Drosophila melanogaster: one gene and its partners. The protein of the gene in region 1 interacts with the protein of each later gene in a pairwise test. Each region holds a gene or a part of one and is shown in the gene's direction. Other genes may lie near its edges. The genes, in order: CG2540, CG14191, CG14478 and EndoB.

The links.
Region 2: the proteins of CG2540 (region 1) and CG14191 interact in a two-hybrid assay, tested with the Drosophila melanogaster proteins (one large-scale study listed by BioGRID).
Region 3: the proteins of CG2540 (region 1) and CG14478 interact in a two-hybrid assay, tested with the Drosophila melanogaster proteins (one large-scale study listed by BioGRID).
Region 4: the proteins of CG2540 (region 1) and EndoB interact in a two-hybrid assay, tested with the Drosophila melanogaster proteins (one large-scale study listed by BioGRID).

What each region holds. Positions count from the first base shown.
Region 1 is NC_004354.4:12,626,719-12,634,005, forward strand, and holds CG2540 (uncharacterized protein), read left to right. Parts: upstream 1-3,159; 5' UTR 3,160-3,240; coding exon 3,241-4,176; 3' UTR 4,177-4,393; downstream 4,394-7,287. Other genes in the region: CG15728 (uncharacterized protein), read left to right, coding at 515-646, 703-894, 959-1,531; Aven (apoptosis and caspase activation inhibitor), read right to left, coding at 1,837-2,692, 2,757-2,785.
Region 2 is NC_004354.4:19,078,364-19,085,435, forward strand, and holds CG14191 (uncharacterized protein), read left to right. Parts: upstream 1-3,301; 5' UTR 3,302-3,380; coding exon 3,381-3,386; intron 3,387-3,501; coding exon 3,502-4,077; 3' UTR 4,078-4,203; downstream 4,204-7,072. Other genes in the region: CG7406 (uncharacterized protein), read left to right, coding at 1-10; CG7423 (uncharacterized protein), read right to left, coding at 4,442-4,816.
Region 3 is NT_033778.4:17,454,201-17,462,846, forward strand, and holds the start of CG14478 (uncharacterized protein), read left to right. Parts: upstream 1-3,462; 5' UTR 3,463-3,672; intron 3,673-4,615; exon of another isoform or gene 4,616-4,879; intron 4,880-6,397; exon of another isoform or gene 6,398-6,466; intron 6,467-7,793; 5' UTR 7,794-8,494; coding exon 8,495-8,646. Other genes in the region: CG10764 (uncharacterized protein), read left to right, coding at 27-632, 709-757, 853-989, 1,048-1,424; robls54B (roadblock similar 54B), read right to left, coding at 1,564-1,878, 1,938-1,961; robl (roadblock), read left to right, coding at 2,371-2,373, 2,437-2,515, 2,584-2,795.
Region 4 is NT_033778.4:19,304,550-19,314,148, reverse strand, and holds EndoB (endophilin B), read left to right. Parts: upstream 1-3,483; 5' UTR 3,484-3,596; coding exon 3,597-3,674; intron 3,675-3,835; coding exon 3,836-4,333; intron 4,334-4,450; coding exon 4,451-4,486; intron 4,487-4,565; coding exon 4,566-4,756; intron 4,757-4,917; coding exon of another isoform or gene 4,918-5,122; intron 5,123-5,335; coding exon 5,336-5,576; intron 5,577-5,633; coding exon 5,634-5,762; 3' UTR 5,763-6,702; downstream 6,703-9,599. Other genes in the region: Rgk1 (Rad, Gem/Kir family member 1), read left to right, coding at 1,019-1,154, 1,224-1,364, 1,435-1,552; Acadvl (Acyl-CoA dehydrogenase very long chain), read right to left, coding at 7,042-8,925.

The sequences.
Region 1 (7,287 bases):
GGGCACACACACAGGCAGGAAAAATCATAACTACAGTAAGCGTCCGATAGCAGCGACTCCTCTAAGTCCTTCAATTTTATGCGATTCAACTAGAAGTTCAACACAAAAGTGTATTTTGTCTAAAAATGAACATAACTATATAATTATAATATTTTAATATATTATTACAAAAAATTAATTTTAAATCATGGAAGATGTACATAGGTTCAAGGTTCATGAATTCAAATCAAAAGCTTCATAGTTAATTCCTAGACTTTTCAATTAAAAGTACCCACTTGCTGATTTCACTGTACTCGGCTTGGCCAAGATGGCAGCCAAGTGTGTTTGAAAAACATGTCAAAATGTTGTGGAGCTCATTAAAATAGCGTTGGCTATTTGCACACATCATATCTTTCAGTCACTAATTTGTAGAAGGAGGAGGAGAAGGTGAAGCAGCAGCAAATCCTTGAAGGCGCCTTTTCCCTGTTCAAAAGTAATGCATAACTCCCTTTTTCCAGCTTTTTCCTCAGATAAAATGGCAGAATACAACATGAGCCACATGGTGCGACCCCAGGGATTCAGTTTGGAAGAGCTGCGTCAGACTATGAGTCGATCGGCGATTCGGGAACAATGCTACTTTATTTATGCCACCGGCAATATTCTGGAGGTGATCCATATTCATATCATAATCACATTATCTAATTTATTCACATGTTCCGTTAGATTATATCTGGTTTTGATGAACTGCTCAACCAGGAGGGGATCCAATTCGGAGCAGATAAACTGGCTGCGGTGTATGTATGCGGTTTGATGGTTTATCTACTCCATCATGAGGACACGTCGGCCACCCAGGTGAAAAGAACTCTTTTCCTGCAAAAGTGCTTCAATTATATGGCATGCTCCGAGGAAAGCCATGTGAGTAAGCATATATATGTTTGAAATATATATTTTTTGATCCTTCCCTTTCTTTGCCCAACAGATCCACCAGGTATGCGTCCATGTCCTGGGTCTCTTGGATATCCAGAGTTCGAGCACAATGCTCAACCTGATCCTCGGCTGCCGCGTGGCCAGTCCGCTGTGCACAATGGCCAGCGTTGTGGCTAACTGTCTGCTCTGGGCCATGTTGGATCATATGTCGGACTTGGGCCTGGACTTGCACCGATTGCGTCCGGCTAACACACTGCTGCTCGTCGTTGCCGTGGTGAAGCCGCATATTTATGTAATATCCTATTTGCATTCCCTGCACCTGGTGGTCCGTTTGATATCCAGCATCCTGCTGATCGGACCATTCAATGCCCAGGGCCAGCAACTGTGCCAGGAGACCGATGTGCCGGAGGATTATATGAAACTGGCCAGGGACGATTGTTCGATATTAGTTCGCTGGCTAATCGCGATCGTTGATGAGCTGCGTCCGCTGATGGTGGAGAACAACGATTTGGGGCATCTGCATGAGCGCCTGGTGCTTTTGGAGTCCATATGTGAGCTTATGCAGCTCTTGCATGGCCATTTGGTTAAGTGTTACCAAGGCAAAAGTGGACCACAATGTAAGTAATAGCGAACGGAAACAAAGAAATCTGTTATAAATTCAGATACTTTGATGAGAAGAGAATTGAAATCTTCAATAACTTAACCTAACCTTTGAAACTTATTTCAAGAAACAATCGCATCGTATATATATGCAATCAACGATTTTATTATACACAATAAAAAGGCTCTAGCTTTAACTATAAAGTTACGAGGAAAACTCTAGATTTTGCAATTTTAATGATGCTACTTCTAAAAATGCAAGCACTTAGTGATTTGAATATTTCGTGTAAGCGTAAAAAGCTCTGGTAATAGTCCTCCTGAACTATGTAACTATTCATCCAAAACGGAATCCAGCCATTCCTCCACACCGTTTTTGCTTGCTGCCGATGAGGGTGTGGCCGGCTGCACCATAGGCATTGGCATCGTAATGGTTCCAGAGCCTATATCCAGTTGCGTATCGGTCATGGCCAATAGCTCGTCAAGTTCATCAGGTTCAGCTGCTGAGGCAGCAATTGGTTTTTCCGCCGCTGCAGGGGCAACGTCCTTATTGGACTTAGCAGAGGGAGCTCGCGACTTGGCGCCCCCATTGGCGTCCTTCAGAATGCACTGCTGGTAAACTGCCTCAGCCCGTTCGGCGGCCTTCTCTTGGGCGGCAATCTGAGCGCGGGTGAACAAAGACGCCGGATAATCCATACGCTTGTATAACGGAATCGTTTGCAGACCCACATTTAGGCGGGTGAGGTTCAGGGTGAAGTAAGCACTGGCAGCCTTGGTGTGTAGCTTGGTCTGGCCCTCGGCCACGTTGGCCCATTCGCGCTCTGACCCAAAGGTGAAGTGGCCGCCACCGAGGCTGGGAAACTGGGCCAGCTGCTGGAAATCGCCAGCTCGTAACTGGGCACGGGCATTCTCATCGATGGGTGCACCATCCAGGCCCAATTGCTCCACATCGTCGGTGTCGCTGGGCAGGGTGTCCAGCATGTCCCTGTTCCGTTGCGGTGCCAACGATGAGCGGCCTGCTCCACTGGACTGCCAATTGCCACGCCTGGCCAACCTTGGCTCATCGCTCGAGTCCGCCACATCAACCATGCTGCGACGGGAGGTGGGTGGTGGCGATCCCGACGATGTGGTGGAGCGCCCTTGATCCTTTTTATGGTGATGATTGTACTGCTTCATGTTCCTGCGCTTTCTGTAAAGGATGGGTTGTTATTATTAGGTGCTAACTGCGAGGTGAGTGGTTACGTTGCACGTACTCCTTGGATCGATCGTCCTTGCCGGACATTTTGATGGGGGTTGTGTGGTTTCCGGGGTGTTATTTATCTGGTAATTCCGATTCAAAATCGGTTTGTTTATTCCTTCGTTCAGCGACGCGAGTGTGAGCGGGATGGATAATGCGGCAAACAGCTGTTCCCTTAACTGAGCGCAGGGTGGCCAGGCTATATTGTTGCAACATAAAAAAGTAACGGAAAACGAAAAATATAAATATACATATTAACAACATACCATATGAACATTTTAGTTTATTACATAAATAAAATGATTGTTCAATTACATAAAAATACATATTTAACTATAAAATCTAATATTTGTAATAAATATTTAAAAATATATATATAAAACTCAAGGCTACGTGGCAGCCCTGTGGGAATCGAACAGCTGATGTCGATAACTTTAGACGATAAGCTGCCAAAGGAAATTGAAAATTTTCACAATTTTTTGGCTAACGAAGCACCGGTGATGTTGGACTTCCTGACGGAGCTGCGAAGCAGTGGTTCTAGGGCGGATCAGCTGCCCGGCAACATATACACCGAGTTCTTCGCGAACGTTATCGAGGAGCCCAGGGAACATGGATGCAAGTCAGCGGATCAGGATTTTACACAAGGATTCTCCATGCTACGCACTTTCGATACCGAAAATAGCAATCAATTGGAGCCGCCGGCGGCCACGGATGCGGATGTCTGGATCTTTGGCTATGGGTCGTTGGTATGGAAGACGGACTTCCCGTACATAGACCGACGACGCGGCTTCGTTTGGGGATTCAAGCGTCGCTTCTACCAGCACAGCATCGATCACCGGGGTATTCCCGAACGTCCTGGTCGCGTGGTCACCCTGCTGCCAGGCGATCCCGCCCAGGATCGTGTCTATGGCGTCGCCTATCGCATAGCTGCTAGTCAAAAGGGTGCTGTGTTGGACCATCTGGATTACCGGGAGAAGAACGGGTATGAGCGCTGCAGCTTGGAGTTCCACGAGTATCCGACTGACGGTGCAGAACCCATCCAAGTGATCATGTACGTGGCCACGCAGGCGAACGATTCCTATGCTGGTGATGTGTGGCAAGTTCCCTGTATTGCGAGGCAAATCTTCAGCTCGGCCGGTCCCAGTGGCCCCAATCGCGAATACCTATTCAACCTGGCCGCCGCCATGGATCAGCTCTTTCCGGGAGCTGTAGACGAGCATCTCGAAGAACTGGTTGCTTGCGTTAAGCGTTACATTGTCGAGGATGAGCCCCAGTTAATACGCCATGCGCTGTTGCATGAGATTTCCGGTATTCTGGAGGAGGAACAGCTAGCGGAGCAGGCACACCAGCTGGAGAAGCTTTTGGAGCGATGTCAGAAACCTGGCGGCCGCGAGTGGTTGATCTACGCTGCACTGCAAGCTAAAAACAAGTCGTGACACCACAACATTTTGCAATAGAAGACTACTGTTTATTGTAAATACCAAGAAGCTTGGGATATTTCTTTTTAGATGCACCATTCCAAATAGACCAATTGCAACGACGTGTTATAGAGGCTTCTGACGAATCACAATTACGATTGTGATTTCCTGTCATGAACATTATTATTTATTCATTATTATATATGAAAACATATTTTAAATATAAATTTAAAACAAACATTTGTGTGATTTTATTTAAAGTGAATTGTCTTGTGATTTGTGGTATCATTAAACATTGAATTATTAAATATATAGTAGTTATAAAAATCATAAAATATAGAGAGCACGCTCTAGGCCGGATAGAACGTATAAATCTATGTTGATAGTAACATTAATATCTAATCTTTAAATTTATAATTCAGGAATCACGGCATTCAGATAGTACTCAATATAGCGTTTATCAGCTTTTCGAATCAATTCCAATATTTATTTTATTTCCACCGGTGTAAATTAACCATTTTTCAATACAATGGCACGTTATATATGAATCTAATTAGGCAAGTAACTTAAAGGATTTTAATTAAAAGTTTCTAGATTTAATTTAATTTTACGGGGAATACCCTAAATAGCGAACGTGTAGAATATAGCTGTGCTGCTTTGGTCTCACTGCTAGAAAATATCGATAAGATTGATATCGATAATGCCCAAGCTTGCCGTTCATCGATGGCGCCCAGTCGTCGAAGTTTTCACAGCTCTAACAGTTGAGACAACATTTTGAGAAATTGTCGTTTGTTTTGTCGTGCTTTTTGTTTAAACATTGCGTTGTGTTTTTTGTTTATCGCCCCCGTGTCGATCTGATCTGATTCGGTTCGCCAATCCAATTGGATTGGGCAAGCGCCACAAACGTTCAACAGCGGAGTGAATCGCCATGAAACAGGTGGGCGGGGCTTAACGGTTTGCGGGGGGGTTGGTTGGTATTTAGTGGGTGGTTGTGTTGCGGAATGTGTTATTGTTGCTGTTGTTTTTGTTTTCGTTTTTTGTTTCTGCTGCTGCTGCGATGATGTTATGTCCCCTGCTTGTCAATGTGTTTCTCTCTGCATGTGTGTGTGTAAAATGCAAATTAGAATGACAACATGTTTGCATTTGCTGCTTTTCAATATCAACCATCACATCACCGTTAGGTTTTTGCTGCTGCTCCAGATGAATCATTTGAGCTCTCCCCCTCTCTCTTGCTCCCTTTCCCATGCAGATTCTTATCAGAGCAGCGAAAGTCAATGTTCTATCTTTATTGTTCTTGTTCTTGTTTTTGTTCTCTTGCCAACAAGTTTCTTATTGGACTACATTTACATTACCAACATGACGCAAGAGTTGCCAACCTCCCCCCCCCTCTGACCATGTCGTTCGGAGCTCCTTTTTATTGCCTACTTTGCTGAGTTATTGATAATGGGCTCTCGCACACAAGAAGGATAAAGCATAACGGCGCATAACTTATTACCATTACCATGCAAATTTCCATACGACCATTGTGTTTGTGTGTTAGAGCGAGAGGACCTATGAATTGTGAGAGTATGCCAGTATTTACATTTTAGCAGATTACACTTTTTAGTATGTACTCGCATGTGGGATTTATTACTTTGCTTTCTCAAAAAAAAAAAAGAAAAGAGAAAAGGCAATTTGGGGAGCTTCGCCTCCTAACAAGTATCGATTCCTGGTTAAAGCAAGGGAAAACCTCGGTCAGGGTTGCCAACGCATTGGGCTAACAATCCGAAATCAAAGCCAGCGACAACCATACGGACTCGTTGGTGCTTTGCATAACCATATAACCAGGATATTCAGGACGTGCCAGTGTGTTTCTGTGTGTGTGTGAGTGTTTGAATTGTGTGTGTGTGTGTACTCCTCCGTGTATGTATAACACGTGCCGTGGAAACTGCGCGGAAACGCTACCAGTTTCAGTTTTTCGCTGTAGAGCATTCGACGCGTTCGCACGCGTTGATTTTTTCCTAAATCCTAAAAAAGAACCCACAACCATTAAGCCAAAATCTATAAAAAAAAATTGCAAAACATCTCGAAACAAAAAGAAAATCTGTTCCAGATGTTTACGCCAAGTAAATCCAGAGGAAAAGCTACAATTTAAAAGAAAAAAATCGCTGTGTTGGTATGTGTGTGTGTGTGCTGCTCCTGCGCTGCCTCAACAAATTTTTCACTTGTATGTGTGTATGTGTGTGTAACTCGTGTCATGTGACCGCGCGCGCAAAACATTTTGCATTGTTTTTGCCCAAGCAGTTGCTGTAGTTGTTGTTGCAGGATATCCAGCGTGTACGCGAAAAACGTTTTTGGGGGCGAAATAGCGTAAGCCTGCGCAATAGTCGCTCACATGGCAGCTGGCCATACACACACATGCACACAAACGCAGGGATAAACAGGAGTTAGCCGAGATTTTTTTGTGCCATTAAAACGAGGGAAATTCAACGAAGAACGCCTTGAAGTAGGCTAAACAAAAAGCGGAGCAGCGATTGATTCCGTTACATTTCCAATCAGCATAAATTGCAAGCAGTGTGAGTGAGAGTCAGAGTGCCAGTGTGTGTGTGTGTGTACGTGTAATACTCACGCATATACTTACATACGTTGAGAATCCTAGAAAGCAGCATCGCCTGCTCCTTTTCGTTGGCGCTCTCGTTCTCAATTTTGCAGCAGCAGCAGCAGCAGCAGTAGAGACAGTAGAAGCAGTAAAAGCAGCAGCAGCAGCAGCTCAGTCGACAACTGACCAGCCAAGCACTAGCATATTTCCTATTGGCCCCTTGCAACAAAAAGCCCCGAAAATATATTGAAAATTTCACAAAAATGGTAGAAGCCAAAACTGTGAAAAACTAAAGCGAACGTCTTGAAGCCATTAAAAAAGCGCGCCTATTCAGTGAATGTGTGTGTGTGCGTGAGAATTGATGTGTAAAAAGAACAGTGTATTGAAATATCAATAAACTATCGATGATCCTTTGAAAATTAAGAAAAAAAATTTAATTTTTTTTTTGTATGTTCAAGTGAAGAAGCTGCAGGAGGAGCATAAGATGAAGATGTAGCTAACATGTGAGTAGCAACAAGCAGGGCCAAGCAGTGCCTATGTGTGTGAAAAAT
Region 2 (7,072 bases), 6.5 Mb from region 1:
ATGGAACTAAGCAGTTCCTCGGAGATGCTCGGACATTCCAACAGATGCCAGGCAACCCAGTGCGCTGATGTCAACTCTTTTGTTCCTGTTGTCGGAGTTGTGCGGCGATATTGGCCTTTTTCGATGCTCGAAGTTAGTTTAGGACAGCGCACGCGTTTTGTGTGTGCGCTTAGAAACCATTAATTTTTTTTGCTAATTTTTAAAGAAATACACAGAAAATGAAAAAGATAACCAGTACTGCCTGATTCTTTGTCCATCGATTTGGGAAGTCCCAAGAGTTGATTACTCATGATCGGGGGTTTTTGAGAGCATCTTTGTTGGCCAGTTTCGCTTTCCACTTAACCCATTTGGCCACATTTGTGTTTTGTTTGCAATTACAGAAATTATTGTACTTATAACCAGTTTGCCATATAATTATTGAAGTAGCAACCGCAACAATAGAAATGGCATATTATATCACAAAACGGTATGAAATTACCTTGCATTTCTCGCCGAGCACAATCCCCTCATCAGTGGTATCTATCAGATTATATGACATATTTTTCATATTTGCGATTACGATATCATATTTTTATGATTTTGGAAACTTTCCATAGGTGATTGGAAAATATGTAATTTCAGTACCGCCGGCTCACAGTGGGTTAAGCTCAAGGTCAAGTCGTGGCAAGCTTCAGCATCGCAAAGGCAATGAATCCATTATCGTCTCGTAATTATGTCTATTCTGGACAAGCTGTGAGATACAAGTAATTCCCCATCGAAATAAATAATTGCGGATGCGTCTTGGGTTTGTTTTGAATTTCCATCATTAAATTTGTTTTTACGAGTATTTGATGGTGCCGTAACTAGTTTTCTATGGGCCGAAAATGGACTTAAGTCTTTCGGTTCTTCGTATTTTGTCTATATTCACACGTTCGTGAGCTGCGATTTTTTGTGGGCATATTTTATGTCTTAATTAATGGATACTCAGGTGGAGATGGTGACTAATTAAGATTGTATACATTTAATATCATGCATAATTATGATTCGACTTGCATTCGATTTCCCAGCTAGATAGATATGTATATTCCAAATGTCAAATATAATTGAGTTTAATGGCCATCGTGTGGGTTACATAATGATTATTTCTAAGCTCCCCGAAACTGCGTTACATGGAGTATCCATAAATACGCGTAAAAATAAGCACTTATTGCGCATAAAACATATCCGACCCCGTTAAATAATCACTAATTGTTATTGGCAATAACTCAGGCGTGGCCATAAATCATAATAAAATACGGATAGTGAAATGTTCATCAAAAATAAATGTCTTCCGACTGTGCTAACTGAAATGCATTATCGGTAATTGTTTTCTGCAAAGCCACATTAAATGTTTTCAACAAAAAGCCTTTGCTATCCAACGTGATTTCTATGCTATGCTCCAGCTTTAATAAAAGATTAATATGCTAAATCACCACTTTTAGCATTTTAGCAATAAGAATATCTTTAAGTGCTGCGAGTGCTGGCCTCTTAGAAAAATGTTCCTTAGATTGGTTTTCCTTGATAATTCGAGCATCGTGCCGCCGTTGGCCATTATAGTCATTCCAGCCGAATATGAAATCACCGACAATCAGCGGGAAATGTATGGCTCATCTATCAGATCGAGAAGTGAAGGTTGGCTTTAACTTCAACTTCAGCACCAGCTTTTGCTGCAACCGAATCGAGTTGGTGGAGCGGCAATTAATAGCATTCTGCTTGACCCATCGCCACTGCGGGCCAAAAGTTAATGGAGCTGCGATCGCGTTGGCCGGATTAATCAAGATCGAAATTGTTTTGGGTACAGAGATGGCAAAGTTACTCAACATAAATGTGGCTTCAAAAACACAGATTGATTTGTCCACTTAGGGTGCAAGAACTGGAACTGGGGAACAACACAAAAAAAAATTGATTAAAAGTCGTACGAAACTAATAATTATATGTGCTTAAAGTTGGGACGAATCTGACTATAATAATACACACAGGTACACCAGCCATCTGGCAATTGAATTCCAGGTACTAATAACAATAAAAACAAAAAAAGTACACTTTTTGCATCGAATTCGTAATAATATTGCGACATAGCATAATTAAGCGTGATCATTTCTATTAAAGTAAAGTACCTGGTTATTAAAATGCCCAGGTACACCGCCCATTTGATATCCACCACTAGATGATGGTGCGATCGCTACCTGTTTATTGGATCATGTTGCTGGCAGCTATTGTTTATTATTTTTGCAACTTTGTGTCGATTTCGATGAATTGCATAACGAGCTGAAAATGCGCCATCGAAAGGTTTTTGGCCCGGCAAGTGCAGTGCCTTCGTCTTCGCCAAGGGTTTCCTCCAACCGACCTGGCGATGCAAGTTAGCCCACTTGACAGCTCCGGGCTGCCTGGATTGCAACATACAGTACAGTCCGCGACATAAATTAGCCCGCAGCGTGGGGCTTGTAACTTGCTGCTGCTTGGAGCAGCAGAGCTTAGAGCTCAGTGCCGCGGGTGGAGATCGGATGCTGTGTGCATGGAATGGCGTCGTGGAGGTTATGGGGATGGGGTGGGGTCAGGGCCGTTGCCCTCATGCAGACAACTGGACAACGCTGGTGATGGTAATGGTAATGGTCATGGTAATGATGATGCCGCAACTCAAAACGGACCATCGCGTGGACCGGCAATTAGTGTGTCAAACACGAGCAGACTCCACACAGTGACATTATTTCTCCGTATTGTGGGGAAATCACTCAAAGGCATATATGGGAAATGCCAATTTAATAATTATTATACTTTATTTCCCTTTAGTGTACGATGTGAAAAACTAAAAACAATAGGAAACAAATATTATACAAAGTTATTGTATATAAGCTCAGATACGGGGGGAAATTGAAGTCTTAAATTACCATAAAATCAATAAAACATGATCGCGAGATTAAAAGTAGTACTATCAACTACTATATAAAGTTGTAAATATACAATTTCAAAAGGCATACCAGTCGGTAATATTCGTCAAAAATGTATGTTAAAGTATGTATTTACCTCCTTGACTTTTCGATTAAAGTGATTACTTTAGTGATTTTTATTGGAGTTGTTTCATTGCGCTGAATACATCTTAAGTATATCTTGCTCCGCCAAGAGATGGATTAATTAGTGAGTAACCATGCCTTGCTGTCCGGTTTGGACGCGACTCGACCCACTGTGCGCCGCAGCTGTTGGGGCAGGGCAGGGTTAAGTGAGCCAAGCTGGTTACCGAGCATCCGAGTCGCTGGCCATAAAAGCGGCGGCCAAAACGCTGCAGACCACAGTCGAAGATCGCCCTTCCAGTCCGACACAGTCGCAGTTCTTCCGAAGCAATCAATACTCTCAAACACGCCAACATGAAGGTGCGCCAATCGCGGATTAACACTTTCACAGAAAGTGAAACCCATTCTTCGAATATTTTTTTATGTGTACCCTTTTGTGAGTTCAACTAACGCGTTTCCTGCCAATCTCTTGCAGGTTTTCGTCTGCTTGCTGGCGGTGTGCAGTATGGCCCATGCGGGTTTCCTGGGCGGCGGCGGCGCAGGAGGTAGTGCCCTCAGCTCCGGCTGGTCATCCGGCGGAGGAGGAGGAGGATATAGCGGCGGATACAGTGGTGGCCATGGAGGAGGTGGTGGCTACGGCGGTGGTGGCTACGGCGGTGGTGGCTACGGCGGCGGTGGCCACGGAGGCGGCAGCACGATTAAGATCATCAAGGTGATCACCGATTCCGGAGCTGGTGGTGGTGGCTACGGAGGTGGCTACGGGGGTGGCCATGGAGGTGGCTATGGAGGTGGCTACGGAGGCGGCTCCTCCGGTGGTTACAGTGGCGGCCACGGAGGCGGTTGGTCATCCGGCGGTGGATACGGCGGTGGTGGCTACGGAAGCGGTGGCAACGTCAAGATCATCAAGGTCATCTCCGACGCCGGATCGAGCGGCGGGTATGGCGGCGGCTACGGCGGTGGTCACGGTGGTGGATACTCCTCCGGCGGTGCCTCCAGCTACTCCGCCGGCGGTTGGGCTCCTCAGGGCGGTTGGGCCCAGAGCAGTTGGTAAATGCTCTCCGTTGGTCAACGGATACTAACTTGTTACTGTTTCTCACTGACCTTAATTGTAAATACTTCCCAACATTAACCAATAAAACAGTGCGGTATAGAAGAGCCATTTCCACTATCAAAACAGAAACTAATGTTTCTTTTTTAGTAATAATCCGATATAGAGATTCTCGATATAAATCCACCTTGTAATTCCAAGAAAATTCGTTTTCAAGATTGTAAGAGCTGCTGATGCATCGCTTACAATCAGTCAGCTAGCAAATGAACCTATCAAAAGGTTACACTAAAAATTTGCAAAATGTACAATAGGTGGATCTCCCATATATGATGCCCTGTCAGGAGTTACGAGGACATCCCCAAGGACCTCAGTCCCGCGCCAGGAGCCGTCTAATGTCCTCCTGCTCGGCGGCCTCCGCGTAGCTCTGCCCCTCGGGCGTGCGCTCCGTGCGGCTGGCTCCCATCCGGAGCAGGAACTCGACGCAGCGTGTATGCCCCTCCCATATGGCCGCCAGGAGCGGTGTGATGCCGTACTTGTCCTTCCTGTCCACCTCCGCGCCGATCCGCACAAAGAACTCCAGCAGCTTCAGCTGGCCAAAGTCGGCGGCGTAGTGCAAGGGGAACCGGACGCCCATCTGATCGTTCACATTAAGCGATCCGGCTAGGAAAATTCGCTCCACCTCGTCGTACACGCCGTTCTTGATTGTCCAGATGATGTCCTCGATTTTGTGTCCATCGCCCATCGTGATCCGTTTGACTCAGTTTTTATCCGTATTTTAAGCAATGCGATTCATAAAATCTAATGATTTCAATAGTAGTACGTACGTATGCTCAATTCTAAAGTTGACGTGCTGGGTTACTTTGATGTTTGTGTTCCTAAACAAAAGTGCCCTTTTACATCGTTAAAGCTGCGTTCGGCAAGCAATTAGAGGCATTAAAAGTTTGCCGTTTGTAGGTGCTTTTAAAACTATAACAACATACATCCCATTGAATCTGTCAAAGTTTTCTATGACCTCGTCCCGTCGTCATAAAATTGTCCCCCATTTTATTTATCGATGGTAACCCACAGAATTTGACAGTTGTCAGGTGCTGCCGTTGTTGGCAATGTTTTATATTTGTGTTTTTTCATTCGGGCTTTGGTTTTTTGTGTTGTGTTAACCCTTCGTTAACCCCATACGCATGTCGGGCCATCTGTCCCCGTCCTCCAGTCAGTGTTCATGGTACATATAGCCCGCCACCGCCCACCAAATGGTAGGGCTTCCTACGCGCCAGACGCAATTTGTATGCAAATTTCCATGAGAATCTCAACACATGCAATAACAGCAACAACACAAAGGACACACGAGCAGCAGCAGCAGCGGCAGTGGCAACAAAAAATTGACTGAGCGTGAATGCAGAGCGGGGGGTTTTGGCAACCAATTGGTTACAAATACATAATAAGAAACGGACAGATATAAAATGGCAGAGAATGGGGTATGAGTATCGGGATGGGCAAAGATTACCATTCCGAAAGTGAAACGTTAAAAAGTGTCCAACAAGTTGAAATCTTAAGGAGAGCGCACTTTAACAGCAACCGAGTTTAGGTAGTTGAAGTTTGAGATACCAGCGGTTCCTAGAAATAGGATATAGCAAATTCAACGGAGTGGACCCAGGACGTAAATGCTTTGAAAAGCGCATAGAAGAGCGTATATTAAGCGGAGATTAAAGACGAAATAGTTTACGTTTAAGATACCATATACGGTTATTACTAAAATTAGTGGATTGTATCTATAAGGCGAAAAAATTGAGAAGCGCATAGAAGGACGAGTTTAAATATAAGGTAAGCTGAATTCAAAGAATGTAGTTGAAGTTTAATATATCATATGTTATAACAAATGGAACTTAGCAAATTAAAGGGCTTGTATCTATAACGTGAACACAATGAGAAGCGCATAGAAGGGCGCATTTTAAGCGGATGTTAGCCGAAACAACTACTTAAATTGGGGCGTGGCAGCCACACACACTCTAAGGCTTAGTATAATAATACTCAAGTAGCGGGTGCCGGAAATAAAAATAAAAATAAAATTAACTTCAATTGTTCTGCTGCTCGCACTTAGATAGTGCGGTATGCGAAAACAGAACTCGTAGGAATGGAATGGGGTTTTCTGGATGGGGAAATCGTGGTGACGGTTAGAGGTTGGGGGTAAGGCGGGGCGCTTACCGAAGGCACTTTCTATGCAAATTTTTATGTGTTAAATGCATTTTGTTGGATTTAACATTCTCGCTGATTTTTTGGTTTACATTTTTGCATATAAATGAGGGCAAACTTTGCTTCGCCCGGGCTAGAGAAAGCCCAGAAAAAGGGGCGCGGCTCACACACACAGTCACACAAATTAGAGGATTAAGTAGCTTGAGTCCTGCTGCTGTTCCTCCTTTCTCTTCTCCCCCCTCTATCCTATCCACTTTCTCCTTTCTCCTTGGCCCTTTTGTCTCAGAAGAAGCAGAAGCCGAAGCAACAGCAGCGGCGAGACAATTACGCTAATTCGCCTGAAATTGTTTTGCATTTTCAACACCCACCCACCAAGCAGCACCCACTTTCGTGGCAATGACAATGACTGCACCACCCGTCGCATATGTGTGAATGTGTGTGTGTGTGTGTGTGTTGGTGAAAAGCAGAATCTTTTCATCGCTTGTTTAAACAGTTAAATTTGATTGCGCTGTAAATAAGAAAGAGAAGTAGAGAAAGTCGGCATGAAGCGAAGGAAACTATGGCGGAAAACCCTTATTATATCCGCAACGAAGGAAGTTTACTTAATTGTGCAACTATTTCCCTTTTCTCACCCACCAGCCATAAGTCTAATTAAAAGATACCAATAAACATCAAAGAATCGTGAAAAAATTATGAGGCGCCCAACAATGGATTGACAAAAAGGCTGTAACGTAATACAAAATTCAGATTTAAAGTCCATTTAATAGGTTCTGAAATTGCTAAAAATTGTGTACTCTACTTTCCAATGAAA
Region 3 (8,646 bases), on another chromosome or scaffold:
CCCCATTTCAATGCATTTCTTCGCAGTTCGAGTTCAACCAATTTGCATCTTTTTGGATCCGGCTCTCAAAGGGAGTGTTGAAAAATTGAAAACGTTCAGAGCCCTTGGCTGGGGAAATAGGAACGGAAAATTGAGCATAATGTTGCAAACCATCTATCTTCTACACTTGAAAAGAAATGAGTGCAAACGCAAATTGAACTTTAATCTCAATTCAAGACAGATTTGCGCTGGAACCAAAAATGGAGACACCTGTAGAGGCGATTCTGGGGGTCCCTTGTCCACGAATATATTGTTTCCTTCCAATAAAAGTTATGAGGTGCAGTTAGGAATCGTAAGCTTTGGGGATCCAGAATGCCGTGGAGTAGGAGTCTATACCGACGTGACCAGCTATGTGGATTGGATCTCATCGACAATAGCTAGAAATGACTACCTACCAATCGGCGTGTCCGGGGGAGACATTGCCATGGGCAATCCCATTGCTCCTGACGCTAATCGGCACTGGACTCCTGCGGCTTCACCACCACTTCCTTCGATGTTGTACAATAGCTGCAGTCAGGATATCGCGGCACCGATCGCGCAGCTAAGAATTTATTGGCCTGGTTCTTATGCCGTTGGCGTATTAATAACAGATCGTAAGTATACTCTTTCACTCGAGAATTCCACAATTAAATGAGTATAAATTTAACAAGATTGAGTTTCTTTTCTTAGAATTGATCATCGCTGCTGCCACAGACCTGCCCACAGTTGCCGCCTATTTGTAAGTTGTTCGAAGGATTATCCCTTGTGCATTAACTGCTATTTTTCACATTAGTTACTAGTTTATTTTGATACCATTTTAAATTAATTATTCAGATACGTGTTCGTAGTGCTCGAAGGAATAAGCGCAATCAACCAAATTGAATCGGTTTCAAAGCACCCAAATTTTACTACGAATGATTACCGAAATGACATAGCAGTACTCAAACTTGTTCGATCAATAAGCAGCACAGGTAGAACATACCTACTATCATAGCAATTGCCTCGATTTACAGTTATATTCTTTTACAGCAATGAAACCCATCTGCATTTTGACAACGCAAATATACCAGCAAAACGCCGAAAAGGCTCGAGAATTGAAAATAATTGATACAGATTTAGCTGAACAATTCGACGTCAGGCTAATGGAAGGGAGCCAATGCGCGAAACATCTCGGATTTCAAATCAACGAAAATCAAGTGTGCATGGTAGATCCATCCGACACAAGTAATCCCCGCCAGAAACGTAGCTACATAGTGGTTGGAGGGATGAATGCCAATGGCCAGATACGCTACATTTTGGTGGGCATTTTCAGTTTTTCATCGAAAAACATACTCGTTTTTACGAATGTTATGAGGCACACGGATTGGATTCTTTCCTTGCTATATTCGTTAAATACGTCATCTTAAAATATTTAAATGCCTTAAAAATGTAAAAGCACGTGTAAATACCAATTACTGACATACGAGTGATTGGTACATGTTTTAATAATAAAGTAACATACGCTAACGAATAAGAAATTGTCTTTGAGAAATCTAAAATATTTAATCATTTTTCGAAGTAATCATGCGCGTTCTGTACTACGAGTAGTGTTATCTTGGAGTCTGGCACCAGGAGCACCTCGTTGGTTCTTGTGCGTATTCTCAGCATTAGTAGTTCGTCCGTGGGATCTATTTTACTCATACCGCGTTCCAGTCTTCCTCGAATAGCCTGAAAAGGTCCCGAAAATTGGACAGCATCCTCTCGGTCCATCGTACTCATCACCGGATGTCCCGACTCGTTGAGGATCACTACATCTCGAACATGTTTTTTCGATTTGACCAGGTCGAATGCTTTTTCCACATATCGTAGAGTTCGAGGTGGCTATTTAATGATGTAACCTATAAATAAATATAATTACATTCAATATGGAAATATTTTACCTTTTGTGGAAGATCCGGAAACATATTTCTCGTCTGCTTTGAAACACCTTGAACTTCGTAGTAACGGTTTCGTGAATTTTTAACCTAATTTTTTTTGTTTTCTTGGTTTCCAAGGTGCGTGTTGCTATATGGGTCAATATGCCAGATTAAACAATTCTGTGTAGTTGTTATTAATGTATTGTTAGTAAATAATAAACTTATTAAATTATTCAATCACAAATATTTTGATAATTACCGTTGCAAATTTTTTTCTCATTGAAAACTTCATATCGATATTTTCTGTTAACTTATGTGGAAATCTGTTAAATTAACAATGAACAATGTGCCATCACTGACAGTGCATCTCTAATATTGAACAAACAAAGTTTACTATTTCATTGAACTGCAGGTAGCGGTAGTGTCTGCCGTGTTTCCAACAAAATTATAAGAAAAAATGGTAAGTAAGAGTTGTGCATACACAAAAACATTAAGAAAATAACGTTACCTTCATGGCTTACAGTCGCAGGAGGTTGAGGAAACACTCAAGAGAATCCAGAGCCACAAAGGTGTTGTGGGTACAATTGTGGTCAACAATGAAGGTGGGTGGTTCAACTGCACCCCAGTGTGTGCTAAGATATCTAACTAATTCTCAACGCCTCCCAAATAGGTATTCCGGTCAAATCCACGCTGGACAACACTACCACCGTTCAGTACGCTGGCCTAATGAGTCAGCTGGCGGACAAGGCACGAAGTGTGGTGAGGGACTTGGATCCTTCCAACGACATGACATTCCTGCGGGTGCGATCCAAGAAGCACGAGATCATGGTGGCACCCGACAAGGACTTCATCCTGATTGTCATCCAAAACCCAACCGACTAAATGGCATGGTGCATCGCGACTATTGCTGAATTATCTGCACATTTATATCTGTATTCTAATCATCAGCGTATAAATGGAAAGTTAAATTATAATGTAATGAAATTGTACTCCATACAATAAATATATTTATGCATAAAATGACATCACGTAAACATTTTGGGCTCTGTAAACTTCAGGTGTTTTCAGCTGTTAGTCCGCTATAACTATTGATAGGGGCATTCATTCTTTATTTTCAAAAACTGAAATATGCGTTCTCTAATTGAAACAAATGACTCCAAAAGATAAATTTATTTTAACGCTAATTCTAACACGAACAATTAATTATTATAATATTATTATAATTATTGAAGTTGTTTGATGTTTGGGTAGTTGGTTTAAGCATCCGCTTCACCGACGTATTTATCGAATACTTTCGAAGCGAGAGATATGTATTCTCTTGTTACCTTTGAAATTGTTTCCGTTGCTATTAGGTGAACATTTATGTTATGTTGGCAATTAAAGACTACCACGGCTTGTACATAATTGGAAAGATTACAATAATTACAACGGTGTGGTAATTATATCCTTTAAAAACCATATGCAGGGACAGAAGGTATCGAATATGTATAAAATAACTTCGATAGTAGCAAAGTCCCAGACTATCGATGTTTGGCCATCGTCGTTGCACGCCACGGTCACACTGATGCAAAGTCGAGGAAGACGGATTCGTGTGTCGGTGAAAACCCGTGAGTTTTGCGTACTTGCATTTAAAGAAAACCCCTCAACGGAATAGTCAATAAATTGATTGGAGAGCCCAATCAGCCACCGTTTCGACCCAGTGTACGCGTGTGCAGCGAGTTAAGAGATCCACCGATCGATCAAATCGTATTGAAAAAAGGTAATTCGAAAGATGGGCGTGCAGCGAAAAGCGAACGAGTAAAGAAAATGGCGTAATCACGCACTTCGAAACCCAAAAGGCAGCCAGCAAACGCAACGCAAACGGAATCCAAATCCACGAACCCTCAATCGGCCAGTCAGCATTACTTTGGGTGAAAAAACGAGCTATATGAACGTGAAAAAAGTGAATAAAAAACGTAAAAAAAATGTGCTGCAGCCATATTTGTTCCGTGAAAATGAAAACGATACACACACACACACGGGCAAAGTCGAGTGTATATAGTCGTCGGTGCATATATATCTGTCTATACATATGTGCTAAGAATTAACTAAATAAAATGAAGCACTTCGTATCGGATCGTCATCGCACCGTTTCGTTGTTCGCAATTTCATTTCATTTCCAACGCGATTCTCGTTCAACGTACGTTGGTACATAGCCTGCCGTACATACATACGTACTTATGTATGTACACATGTACTTTCAATATCGACGATGGCATCACAAAAACACGACGCGCACACAGACACGCACGCACGTACCGTACAAACAAACAGACGTGCGGACACAGAGCAGGGTCTGTATGTACGTACGTGTGTTTATATATGGGACTGGTTGTTGTTGTACATAACGGAGAGTTGAACACATAAGGGCTGGCTGGCTCAATATAGAAAGAAGCATGTGGCTGCGCTGTCAGCGTCGCTGCCTGCAGCGCGTAAGGGATTTTATTACGTCGGACGTTTCGGTCGTCGGTCGCTGGGTTCGTTTTATATTTTTGGATATTTTACACATGTCCATATGCCCGTCTATTCCCCTGCATCATCTGCATCCTCTCCCACATGCATCTCTCGTTCGCTCTCTTTTCGCGTGCGTTTATGAATGTGTGTGTGTGTGTGTGTGTGCGTGCGTGACTCCTTGAATGCAACGTAACGGGAAACGGGCGACTGCAGTCATCAAACGGGTGTAAGGGAGACGGTCGTAGCCCCCCGCAACGCATGGCTCCGCACTTGCGTTCATAAACACAGTGATCACCCACGAAAACGACCTCGTCGAACAGGACTCAAAAGTGCCAAGTGAAAATCATTACGAATTACGGAAAATATACCGAGTGAATCACCTTAACAGCGAAACTGCGTCCCAAACATGAACCAGTGCACTGAAGAAAAATATTGCTTATTACTATTAGTTTTATGATTAAGTGCTATATACGGTTGAATACTATACATTCTTATTGCATACTACGCTCTTTATAAAAAATATGTCAAAGCAAAGCTATTGAAAATCTTATATTGGTAGAAGTTGTTGAACTTTGCTGTGCTTGTTTTTTCATATTAATACTGTCATTGTGCATAAAATTCCGATATAAACCCTGTAGAACAAAGTAGATAACTATATAAAGGGCTAGGCTTTTCAATGTTTTCCCGCTTTGGAGGCCCTGTAATTTCCAACAGGTTCAATCCAAGTTAGGAACAGAATTTTTATTGTTTCGAAGATTTTCAACTGTCGATTTTGTATTTTACCACGTTTCGTGTTATCCACTCCCAATTGATATAATCATTAATTTGATGTGATTTTCTCTGAGTGCATATAAACAGTTGCCTGAACATGACTCAATTCCTTAAAATTTCATTAGTCAGCCGACTTAAAAGATCTCGTACCGAGTTCAGAGACTTATCAAGGGCGTATGATTAGATTGTACAAAAAAAAAAAAAACAGATACTTTTAGGCCTGCCAGCATTCCAAGGGCTTTGAAACACTGGCGACCAGCATCGTTTCGAGCTTGAATCTATAGTTTCCCCACCAAGTACAACCAGTTTTTTTTTCGTTTTGTTTCCCATTTTTTTTTTCTTCGGATTTTTTTTTTTTCTTCGGATTTTTTGGCCGAACACAAGGCCAAAGTTCACACAACACTAAACAAAGGTTCTCGAACCATTCGTTGTTGTATGAACAATGTGCCGTATCTTATCATGTGCGTTGGGAATTCGCAGAGCAGCAGCAGCACAGAACTATCAATCAGCCCGGCGCTTATTATCTATCTCTACAGCTTTTAAACTCACAACTTCCCTCTAATTGCGCAAAAGAATGCCGAGTGCGCAATCAGCTTGGAAAATGAGTGGAAAATGCTGTGCAAACGATCAAAGCCTGCAGCTGTTCTACGCAAATCGTAGAAAGTCGTATCCACATAATGATAATTAGAAAACTTGGCAAAACAGTTGATCAAACAATCTGATTGGTTTGGTCTTAAGTTTCAAATGGCTGCTACGTTTGACGCACACATACGGTTGTAATATATACTATGTAAAGATTAAAATAATGTTGATAGGTGAAAAAATCGTCAAGCTTATTTATTGACGGTCTCGATTGTAATTCTCGTCTATAAACTGAACACTTTGGCACGTTTTCACTTCTTCCTATGCAGATAAATGTACTGCAGGCAAGTTCTTGAAATCAGCTGCCCATTTTCTCATCAGCTGTTTCTTACTGAAGAATTCGCGTTTTGGGTGTGACAATGCAGTACTGTAGGATCGATTTTAAAGGCTAAGTTAAGCAACCATTTCTTGGGCGGATTCCTGCCATATTGGCTGCTTATTGGTAGGCCATCCCCCAGCATCTTGGCAAAAGCTGTTCGTTCTGACAGCAGCGCGTCGAAGGTCTCCTCCCGTTGAACTTTCGACCCGCTGACCAGGCCCCGGTGAAACTTTTGCCCCAGCTAGTCAGCAGTCAGCAGTTTCGAGGCACACAGCTGCAGCAGTTTCGATCGGAAAGCGACCGAGTTTGCTGCAGCAGCTACACAAAAGTACACAGTAGTCCTTCGGTTGACACAGCCACCCCGCACACATACAGACACACACACACACACACAGACACAACAGATATAGATATATGTATATGTATGCAGGCAGCAGCTTTCTTCCCTTAGGCGAATCGAAAACTCGATTTTCATCCCCGTGGCGAACAGAATTTAGTTTTAATTTCATTACAGACTACAGGCGAAGGGAAACAGTGGAAAACATGCGTATTAAAGTCGCTGTTTGCTCGGAGTAGGGAAAAATCTATTCCCTGGGAGTGAAATTTATATGCGCGATTAGATATAGGTGTGTTACATGGTGGGATTTCTGGACAGTGCCGGGAGTGTGCGGGGATTATGAATGGGGCATGTGCTGCGTGCGCGTGTCGGCATAGGAATCGTCATAGCCAGAGTCAGATGATAACACGGCAAATACATACAAGTACCCCAAGTTATACCATAAAGCTAATAATATAGTATGGGATGTGAAGTCGCAGCCTTATCGCTCTGCTGGTTCGAACAAAACCAAAACATAAATAGCGTCGAACCGAATTCTTAATACCCTGACACTGTTGTCTTTTCTAAATATGTTAAAATACCTAAAAAAAAAAATTGTAACATTTACATCAAGACTCTTGATACTCGTGAGTATGAAGAGAGAAGAAAGGATTCCGAATTTCCTTCATTAATGATGTAAAATCTAGTATACTCTGCGAGGGTACACAGCAAAATAACTAACACCAATACCAGTGGGAAACCTATTTTTGGATTGCCAATCGCTAAACAATTCTCTCTGCAGGATTTGCAACACCTGCTCTCTGTTTTCGGCATCTTTATCTCGCTTCTCCTTTTCAGCCGCTGCACTTTTGACCCTTCAACCACTTGTTTTCGCTCGAAAAGGAGCACACAAAAGAATGTTCTATATAGGTACCGGAAAAGACCTGCTGGCAAAAACCGAAAATTGCAAATTCTGAAGCTGAAGCAGAAGCAGAAGATTTCCAAAAAATGCCGAAAACAAAACTGCACATGTGTGTGTGCTCCCATTTTGGTTTCTTTTTTTTTTTTTAGTTTGTACTAAAGGCGGTTAGGGGTAAAAGAAAAAGGGACCTGAAATCCGAGCTCAACGAACATCTGTTCCAAAATATACTGTGTGTGTGCTGGTTGTTGATTTCACCAGGCGAAGAAAATATTGAATACATGAGTGCATTGTATATATCGCTTGAAAGATATATACAACTGGCACAAACACAGTCACATATCTACATACTTACATGCATACAATGCAAAGTGTGAAACAAGACTCTTTTTCACATACCTGCTTTTTATTTTATTCCAGGTAAATCGACGTCGACAACTGCGGAATACCTAAGAGCCAAAGCAGCGAAAGAATAAAGAAACAAGGAAACATTTGCACGCCAGCGGAGCAACTGCACCAGAGCACCACCAGCGACAAGAAAAACCACTTCAACAAAAGAGGATAACATACTGGAAGTGCTCCACTCGCATCGCACACACACACACACACACACACACACACACACACAAACAAACAAACACTCCTGCCCAGCAACATACACACACACATTCATACTGTACGTGCACGACGGTGGGAAAGTAAACCGACATCTTTTTACGACCGCCGAGAGTTTTGCAATCAGAAGAAGTCGGAGAGCCAAGCCGAGTCGATCGGTCAGCCCTTTGATAAGCCAGAGAGAGGGAGAGAGAAGGGAGCAGCTCAGCTCAGCGCAGCGCACAGAAACGGAGAATAAGAGAGGAACAGGTTGCCAAGTCGAACGCGCAACGAATTTGGAAATCGAGACAGCCGAAAGTGCGTGAGCGTGATCGTTTGTACGTAGCCCCCAAAAAAGTTGAAACAAACAAAAAAAAATTCAGATACCCGCAGACCCGGACTTGCATTTAGGCCAGACCAGCTTAAAGGGTTTCCAACCCAAGCCCATGAGCAGCTGAGCCAGCGGCAGCAGCTAAAACGGAAACCAGACTTATACCTTGAACACATCCGATCCCGTGCACATTCAAATGAAAACGTTAGTGCTCAGTCCCGAGGACCTGCAGAACTTCAACAAGTTCATCTATGACCCAAAGTCGGCCGCCCAGCTGGCCGCCAGTGCTGGTGCAATTGGAGCAGCGGCGGCGGCAGCAGCAGCGGTCCATGGTCCGCCAGCTGGAAC
Region 4 (9,599 bases), on another chromosome or scaffold:
TTATGAAAGTAAGGGTGGGTGGTGACTGGAAGGGTTCCCCAGTTCTGCCAGTAAAATGGCAGTGGAGGGAAATTGTTTCAGCGCAAAATTGATTACATTTCGTCCCGTGTGGCATGTGTTCCGCTCAAGGCTTAAGGCCCATAAGCCTATTGTTGTAAACAGGGCGACAACAGGACCTACATTCGCCACCCACTACCCAACGCCCACATCCAACGCACAATCTTGAATTTGGGCGGAGAGTTCCTGTCCACCTAATGCGACGCCCTAATTTCATAAAGTATTTATAGAATTTTGTATGCCTCTGGCAATAATAAAATGAGCGCTTGGCCCAGAAATGTCTGGATAAAAGATATATTCATAAATCTATACATTGTCAAGCTGATTGGAAAAATATGAATAAAACCTAAGTGCGTCACAGGTGATTCTGCCACTCCACAGACTCTAAAAAACCTTTTGAAAATTTAATGTATTTTCCATTTCCACCTCATAACTTTTTGGCATACTAATGACGCACTAATTATTCAATTGGGGTAAATATTGCCCGATGTCGCAAAACTTTTGTTTACCTTTAATTAGGATCCTATTTCATCTGTAATCGAAAATCGGAAGGTTAAGAGCTTAAGTCTTTAAGCGCCCAGGAAAAGGCTGGTCTGCCTATCAAATAAATATATGTAACTTTCGTCACATTGTTAATAAAAATGTGAGGCTGTCATAAAATTTGCACCAGGAGGGTCACCATACGCATGGTGTACCGAACTTTGATGCTTCAGATTTTACGAGTTGTGTACACATCTGTGGACAAGACGTGACGGATGGGATGGGGATTCCCCGCATCATGTTTAGATACAAATCCCAGCCGAGGATGAGGTTTTACGACCAACTCCGAGTTAACTAAGCGAGACCATTCGATTTGATTAACTGGGATGATGGGCGGGCAACTAAGCTGGAATGTGATGCTTTTGGCCATAATTTTTACACATTTTCACTTAACCTCTCCATCGTGCCATTTTCATTACAGAGGGCAAGGCCATGGCCACCGCCTACGATTGTAAATTCATCGAGACGTCGGTGGGCATTAATCACAATGTGGACGAGCTGCTGGTGGGTCTGTTATCACAGATACGACTCAAGCTGGAGAATCCCGAAAAGTCCAGGTTCGTCGAGAGCTACTCAGAAGTAGTCTTTATTTTATTCACTTATGTTTATTATGTTTCTTGCCACAGGGATCTGTTCCGAAAGCGTTCGATTCGAAAGTCAAAGAGACGCGCCTGCTCGCCACTGAATGCCGGATGCCTGAATGCCAATACCCCTCTGGGTCCGCTGGGGGAGGCGGTGGCCACGCCCCCGGGCAGTGCCCAAAGCAGGTGAGTCATCGCCACGCCGACAGGCCATCAGAATCAGGCAGTAATGCTGATGCACCCTACTCTTTTGCAGTCCCCGCAAATACCGTGGATCAAGGACCTCCACCAGCCTGAAAGTCAAGGGACTTTTGGGCCGCGTGTGGACTCGGGACTCCAAGTCGAAGAGCTGCGAGAATCTGCATGTACTCTAAGCACAGAGATTATCCAAAGTGTAACCCACAAGTTTCCTATAGAGTATGCAAGATCCTAAGTTAAAGAAGAAACAGACTCGACTACTACCGGGGGTATTATTCCCAACTGTACATATTGTGTATAATTTTAGTCTTAATTTACGCTAGTCACTTCCTCCATTAATCATTGTATATAGTTTGTCTAAATATAAAACTATTATTTGTAATTGGTTTTTTATGCTCTTTCGTTTTCCTCTAAGCATGAGTTGGGATAATTTTGAATGCTCGTTGTAATACGGCGACTGGAATAAATTAGTTATATTTTTGATTGAAAGAAATCGTAATACAAAGGAATCCAAATAAAAAGCAATAATTTTTAAAATGAGAAAATAATATTTTACCCTTGTTCGTGGACGAATGAATACCAATTGTACTGATTTTTTGAAGATATGGCGCTTGTCCGCCGAATGAAACTTATTGTTAATTATATACGTGTAGTTATACATTTGTAATGGCATTGAATCTCGTTTTAAAATGGCATAAATATTCACATGAATGTTGATTGAATTAAAAGTTCATAATATAATTGATCGATTGCAAACCAGAAACTATATTAACCACATTGTGCAATTTTGCTTAAATAGACCTAGGGATTATTATGCCGTAATTGTTAAACAAAACCATTTTTTTAAACAAAGAAGCCCATCGTGCACCCACAATCCGCACGCCCTAGGTTTCTCAAGTTAGTCGGGACCATTTCAAAATTAATCAAAGATAGCAGAAATACGAAAGAAACACTAGATTTACACAAGGGCTACTTTTAGGTTCATGTCAGCGTAGTTTTACATTAATGCAATATGTGATTTTACACATGGTCCACTAAATCAAGAGCCTAAGCAAAACCATTTTGTTAACGTGTGCAATGCGACCTGCTGTATCAAATATTGAGGTCGGATCGAGAATTTGTAGATTTTTAACTATTAATGTGAACACTAGTAGTGTAGGGCAAATCACACAACTATTCCATAACAATCTAGATGTCCATTAAATGTATTATAAATGTCCATTAAGTATTATAATCACCAACAATTGCAGCACAATGGAATTTAACGGATTTGGAACATTCAAGGAAACCCCCAAATAATACGTGCATCCTAACATGTGTGTAAGATATCCGATCTATAACAGATAGTTAAAATATATACATATAGCTGTAATTGATTTTTGTCCAGAACTCTGTGTATTATTCTCGCTCAACATGAATGAATATGAATTCGAGCCGAAAACTATATAGGAAAGTGATAAAAGCACACTCGATTTTGCACAGATTGTCATATGATGTATAAGGAAAAGCGAAAGTCAGCCATAAATGTAAGAAGCAGCAGAGTGGTGAAAAGTTATCAATTGAATGCATGTTTTAATTTTTCCGCTCCGATAATATATGTCTAATGAGTGTGTATTAAATGTGAAAAGTTAAATTTAAATGTTTTCCAAATCGTGTTTTATTTTGGGGGTTTAATTACAAGGTGCACGGTCTGCAAGCAGGGTAAGTAAAAATTAGTTTAAATGTTGAAAAATGATTTTCATCCATATCATGATTAATTGACTATGTTATATTGTACAAACGTTCACATTTTTTAAAGCTTGCCATAGTAGCTTTCGTTACTATATAGATACTCACCACACTTGATTTACCGAAACTGTTAGCTTACATAGTATGTAGGTATGTATTTGCTAACAGACAGCTTAATTGTTATCTACTTTGATGTCGTGGCATTTGTTTAATAGAAGTAAATTTCGTTTCACCATTTACATGAAGAATAAAGAAGAAAAAGCTATGATAAATTAAAAATTAATACAATTTTACATTTTACTCAATAGTAGTATTTCCAATTAGAACTCTGTTCCAGTTGGAATTCTTCGGTATATTTGGTATATTCCTGGGAGAAACAATGGGTCACACTACGAAGTAGAGGAAATAAATACAAACAAATTGGGCTGTGTAGCGGAATTTAAATTTAAACTTTATCAACGGCAGTGTTAATTAGCGAACCTCTCGGCAAAAATGAATATAAATCTGCCGAATTTCAATGTGAAGAACCTGGTGAAGGAGGCGGGCAGCACAATATCACGAGTGGTGCAGGTGAACAAATCAATGAATTTGGGTGGCTGAAAAAAAAGCGGGTGGTGGTGAACTTTCGGTGGTTGGGCAAATGACAGATGTACCCCAAACCAATCTCAAGCACTTTCGTTGTTTCTTTGCCCTTTTCAACGGCTCTCCATTGTTTTCAATGACCTTTTCAGCTCACGGAGGAGAAACTGGGCACCACGGAGCGCACCGAGTACGACTTGCACTTCCAGAATCTCGCCGAGCGGGCTGATGTGACCAAGACATGGACGGAGAAGATAGTGCGCGACACAGAGTCGGTGCTGATACCCAATCCTCAGAACCGGGTCGAAGACTTCATCTTCGAGAAGATTGAAAAGTCGAAGCCAAAAAGGTTGAGCAACCTAGAGCACCTGGCTCTGGACATGATCGAGGCTGGGGGCGATTTCGGGCAGGATTTACCCTATGGTCAGGCTCTGATCAAGGTCGGCCAAGCGGAACAGAAACTGGGCCAGTGCGAGCACGACTTTATAGCCACCTCGGGCATTTGCTTTACACAGCCGTTGCGCAAGTTCCTAGACGGCGAAATGAAGACAATTGGCAAGGAGCGAGGCATCCTGGAGACCAAGCGCCTGGATCTGGACGCCTGCAAGAACAGGGTGAAGAAAGCGCGCAGCATGCTGGGTCAGCAATCGGTAAGTGGGTGGGATTTGATGGGGTTTCCTTATTGCAAGGGGGTATGATTGATTGGGTTTCGTAATGGCTTTTTCACTCACGGTCTTTTTCTGCCCTCTGCTGCCCGGAATTTTTAGAAAGATGGCATCTCGCCAGAGGCCGTCTTGGAACAGGTATCAAAACCTTGACCGAGCTCGTGCTCTAGATTTATGGCTAATCAATGAGCCAATTTCTAATTGCGATTTTTTCTAGGCGGAACGGGACTTGCGGGTGGCTCAGGCCGAGTTCGACCGGCAGGCGGAGATTACCAAGCTGCTGCTGGACGGGATCAGCACATCGCAGGCATCTCATTTGCGCCACTTGCACGCCTTCATCCAGACGCAAGTGCGCTACTACAAGCAGTGCGGCGATGTCATGGAGCAGCTGCAGCGTGAACTGGCCAAGTAAGTAGTAGGCGATCGATAGAGAATGACTGTGACTTCCACGTAGGCACCAAACGAATCTTTTCTTGCACACCAAAACACCATGTCCCATCCTTGATGAAACCCGTGGTCCCTTCTGGTGGTCTCACTGTGCGTTATGATATCTGCTTGTGGTCTTACAGAATGCAGCATCCCAAGCCACGCCTGCGTATCAATAGCGAAGACGTTGATTGTGGGCCTCCCAGCTCGGTGTCGATGCATTCTTGTGATTCCGATTCATTAGGGGGGATAGCCCTAGATAGCGATCCAGATCCCGATTTGGACAAGTCGCTTACGAATCTGCTCGAAGACTTTCACATAGAATTCGATACGACAGCCGTCTCCACAGTTTAGGGGTCTTGTTATTGTGATCTTCATATCGAATCGGATTCCATGCCCAGTTAACATTAGCATTTAATTTCAAATCATACGTACTAGATAGGTTGCTGTTATCGGTAGTTGTTGCACTTTGTAAAGTCAGGTTTCAGCAGCTCATCTCTCCATTTAGAGCTCGCTATCAAATCGAATCAAAAACTCATTAAACTCTGCATCTTCCATCAGCTTGGGAGGCCCCACGCCATACATTCCGCTCGACGTGAACGAGGCCAGTGCCAGCAAGTCCAACATATCGTCCGGAGCCGCAGCCCGTGGTCCTGGCAACAATCACTCTGCCAATATGGCTGCCACCGGCCACAAGCCTAATCAGCCCATGCACGTCAGCACGGATCAGATGCAGAGGGCACGCGTCCTTTGCTCCTACGACGCCAAGGATCACACCGAGCTTAATTTGAGCGCCAATGAGGTAAAGTAAAGAACAAATAATATCCTAAGCAATGCTTATATATAACTCATTTTTCAGGTGATCTTCGTGACGGAGTGCTCACCAGTAAACGAGGATTACATGTACGGAAAACAGGGTCTATTGAAGGGTCTGGTGCCACGCGCATTTGTTGAAATGCTCGACGAAGAGCACGATGTCACCCTCTAAGCCCTCCAGCAATTTGTTCAGCAATAATCAATCATTCAATAATCTCAAGCAAAATTAATGAACAAGAAAATACTCCAAGTACGGCAATACTCATATGTTAAGAAAGCAGACACGATCGAGAGAAGGGAACGGCAATTGGACAATTAAAGGATGCGGCCAAAGCGGCATTTGGCACTAGCAAGAGAGTACAATAATTTATTAGAATATACATACATAAATATATACAAGGCATAATATACATACATGAGCGTGTTGGTTAGTAAAAGCATTGTAGATTAGCCTTCGGTAATAATCAAACCCAGATCCATGCCCAAAGAGCTACGCTACTCCGTTGCACAGATCACGCTGTAATCAAATATGCATTCTGGCTGCCTGAAAAACCGTCAAGTTATACATGTAAATTTATGCAATTCCAAACATTATGATTGTTAAATCTAATCGCATATCTAAAGAGAAAGTGCTGTTTTATTAAGCTTCTCTACACTCGAAAAAGTATTATATATGTGTTATGTTTGTCAATATCTTAGTTAACAAGCGAAATTCTCTGTGCTTTACTATATATCCTATAATTATAAACGTAAGTATGAAATTGTTAATCCTATTATCTATATATTCAGCGAAGGCGTTTCCAATTATTATCTAATATATTTGCTGCAATTATTATGTTACCAAATTTTTCGTGCAATTTTTGAAAGTCAATTAAAAGAATATTGCTTGTTACATTTAAGGCAAAACTTTGAAACACCAAGGCGCTTGATAGCTAAAAAATAACAGATAAATATTGTTGAAAACGTACAATACAATAATTAAAAAGTAAACAACGATGATTTTTAGGTTTTCAGCAAACAAACAATGTTGTAATATGAAAAGCGAATTTTTAAACACCAACTATTATACTACATAATTACAAATATATGATCAAAATTAAAACAACAAAACCAAATTAAGTTCGATTTATTTTGTATTTCATTAGATTGCCCGTCCAGCTTTGAAAATCAGATCGAGATGGTAAGTGCTTTAAATTATATTTGTGAGCTTTTCTACGTAAAAGGAATAGAGGTGATTTGATTTCAAGAGTTCTATTATCTGAGTTCATTTATAGATGATCAAGTATTTGTTACTCATTTGTTCAATGATAGTGCATAATCACTTTAGAGAGATTTCGTATGTGAGAGCGAGGTGAACTTTAGACTTCAGCGATTATTATTTACAAGACTTTATTGGCATTCATACTAGGTTAACAATCAAGGGCTTAAAATTCGTATAAAAGTATATTGGTCTAGTTTTGATCCAAGATTCCAGTCGTAGTCACACCGCCATTTTCCAAAGTGGTCTTGGCGATGGTGGAAATCTTCTCATTGAGAGACCTATGATGACTGGATGTGGCAGCCTGTAGATTCTTAATCACTCGATCAGATGCCTGAATAGTGAGTGCCTTGGTCATGTTGAGCTCGTGTTGTGCAGTTGGCAGATTCAGATTGACTGCACGGGATGATCGCGATTGCGTCACAACCATTGCATAAATATCAATGGCTGCATTTGCCAGTCGTGTTAGCAAAATTTGTTCGTTAACTATGTTTTTGTTGTATCGCAGCAATAGTTCTTCCACCGATTGTCCAAAAAGATCAATACAATGGGCCGTTTTTTTGGCATAAGGCAAGAGTTCACCCACTACGTGGCCACTCAGATCGGTGCCGCCCAAGCCGACAGTGGAGGCCGCCCGCCTGGAGGCCTCTTTGAAAATCAGTCCCAAATTGGCCGAGGGATTCTTGAATGCGCGCTGCAGTTCCTTAAGGTGGGATCCCGCATATTGAATGCCAGTCAGGGCAATGAACAGCCGGAGAATGTCATTGGTGCCCTCGAATATGCGGAAAATGCGCAGGTCACGCAGGACTCGTTCCAATCCATTATCCACCATGTATCCCATGCCGCCCAGAATTTGTATAGCCTCGTCGCAAACATACCACGCGCTCTCCGAAGCATAGATCTTCGAGATGGCGGCTTCCAAGTGATAGTCCTTGCTGCCGGCATCCATGTTTTGTGAAATAGTAAACGCCATCGACTCCGTGGCGTACTGCAGAATGTTCATCTGAGCCAATTTCTCTTGGATGGATCCATAGTTCTTTAGTTTTTGACCAAACTGAACTCGATTGTTGGCATGCTCGGTGGCCTGTTCGATGCATTTCTTCATTGTTCCCGATAGCGTGGCGCCCATTCCAAACCGACCGTTGTTCAATATGTTCATGGCAACCTTGAATCCATCACCTTCCTTGCCGAGCACATTTTCAATTGGAATCTTTACATCTTCGAAATACACTTCGGCCGTGTTCGATGCCTTGATGCCCATTTTCTTCTCCGGTGGTCCATTGGTTACACCTCCGAAGGATCGTTCCACAATGAAGGCAGTGACCTTGTCCTTCTTCTCGCCAGTCTTCGGGTCCACCTGCTCGGTCTGTGCGAAAACGGTCATAATTTCGGCAATTCCGCCATTGGAAATCCAGATTTTTGAGCCATTAAGGACGTAGTGCTTTCCATCGGCACTCTTCACGGCACGGCATCGAATGGAACCCGCATCAGATCCGGAGCTGGGTTCCGTAAGGGCAAAGGCAGCGTACACCTGCTCGGCGGCCACCTTGGGCAGGTACTTCTCCTTCTGCTCGGGGGTGCCGTACAGCAGTATTCCCTTGAAGCCAATACTCTGATGGGCGCCAATCGTGATGCCCAGTCCCAGATCGTTGACACCCACAATGGCGCACAGCCTGCCGTACTGGGTATTGTTCAGACCGAGGCCACCGAATTCAGATGGCACTTGGATTCCGAAGGCCCCGAGCTCCCACAGAGCCGTCGAAGTGGTGTCATCTATTTTAGAGTTGGCATCGTTGCGGGCAGCGTCATTGACATCGGAGAAGAAACGCTCGAACGGATCTATCAGGCTGTTGGTCAGCTCCTTCTGCTCCGCGGTCAGGACATCCGGATACGGGAACACTTGGCTTGACACCAGTGATCCACGGAAGATGTTGGCCATAAAGGACTCATTCTCACTTGCCTTTTCCTTGCTGCGATTGCTTTCCGCCCCCAGTTTGGGACTGTGCGTCGCTATTTGCCTGCAAAGCGAGGCGTTTCCTGCCAGGTACCTGGTACTTTGGATCGTGTGCCTCCACATAGTTTCGAAATTGTTTGGTAAATCGCCCTTTGGACCGAGAGTCTGCAGTGTGCCCACATTCCCGATCACCCACGACGACGTCATCACCGCGACTTGCGCAGTCCAAATCTGGTATATTTCCTCAGAGCACCGAGTACCGGAGTATTCATCGTTTGGCATATTAAATTCAGTTGGTTTCCAAATCACTTAAAGAGTTTTTTAAATTTCGAAAAGTTTCTGGGGGAGTGTTTTTAGTCGTATTACTTGTTTTATATAACTGTTACTGCTTTTGAGAATTTTTGTATTGTATAGAACTTATCCAAAAATCGTTTAGCATCTTCAATTCTCTTTGTTTTCAAATCTCTGGAAGCGTTTTTAGAAATACAAAATGTATTTGAACCTAACTTAAATCTCGATCTGGATGTGGAAGAGAAGCATTTTGAACCAGATATTATAAATCTGATCCATCTGATGAAGAAGATTAAAGAAATGGTTTTGGAGTAATATTATTATCAATCCTGCTGTATATTGCAAATAGTTAATAATTTACCGCTGTTGATAAATACTAACTGCCCCCAACTCCAAATTAAAACACAAATGACGCTCTTAAACTGCAGTTTAATGTCGATAAATATGCGGCTTTTGAAAAGCTTACAAAAGTTCCCTTGTCGGTTGACCTTTTCTTTCTAAATCCT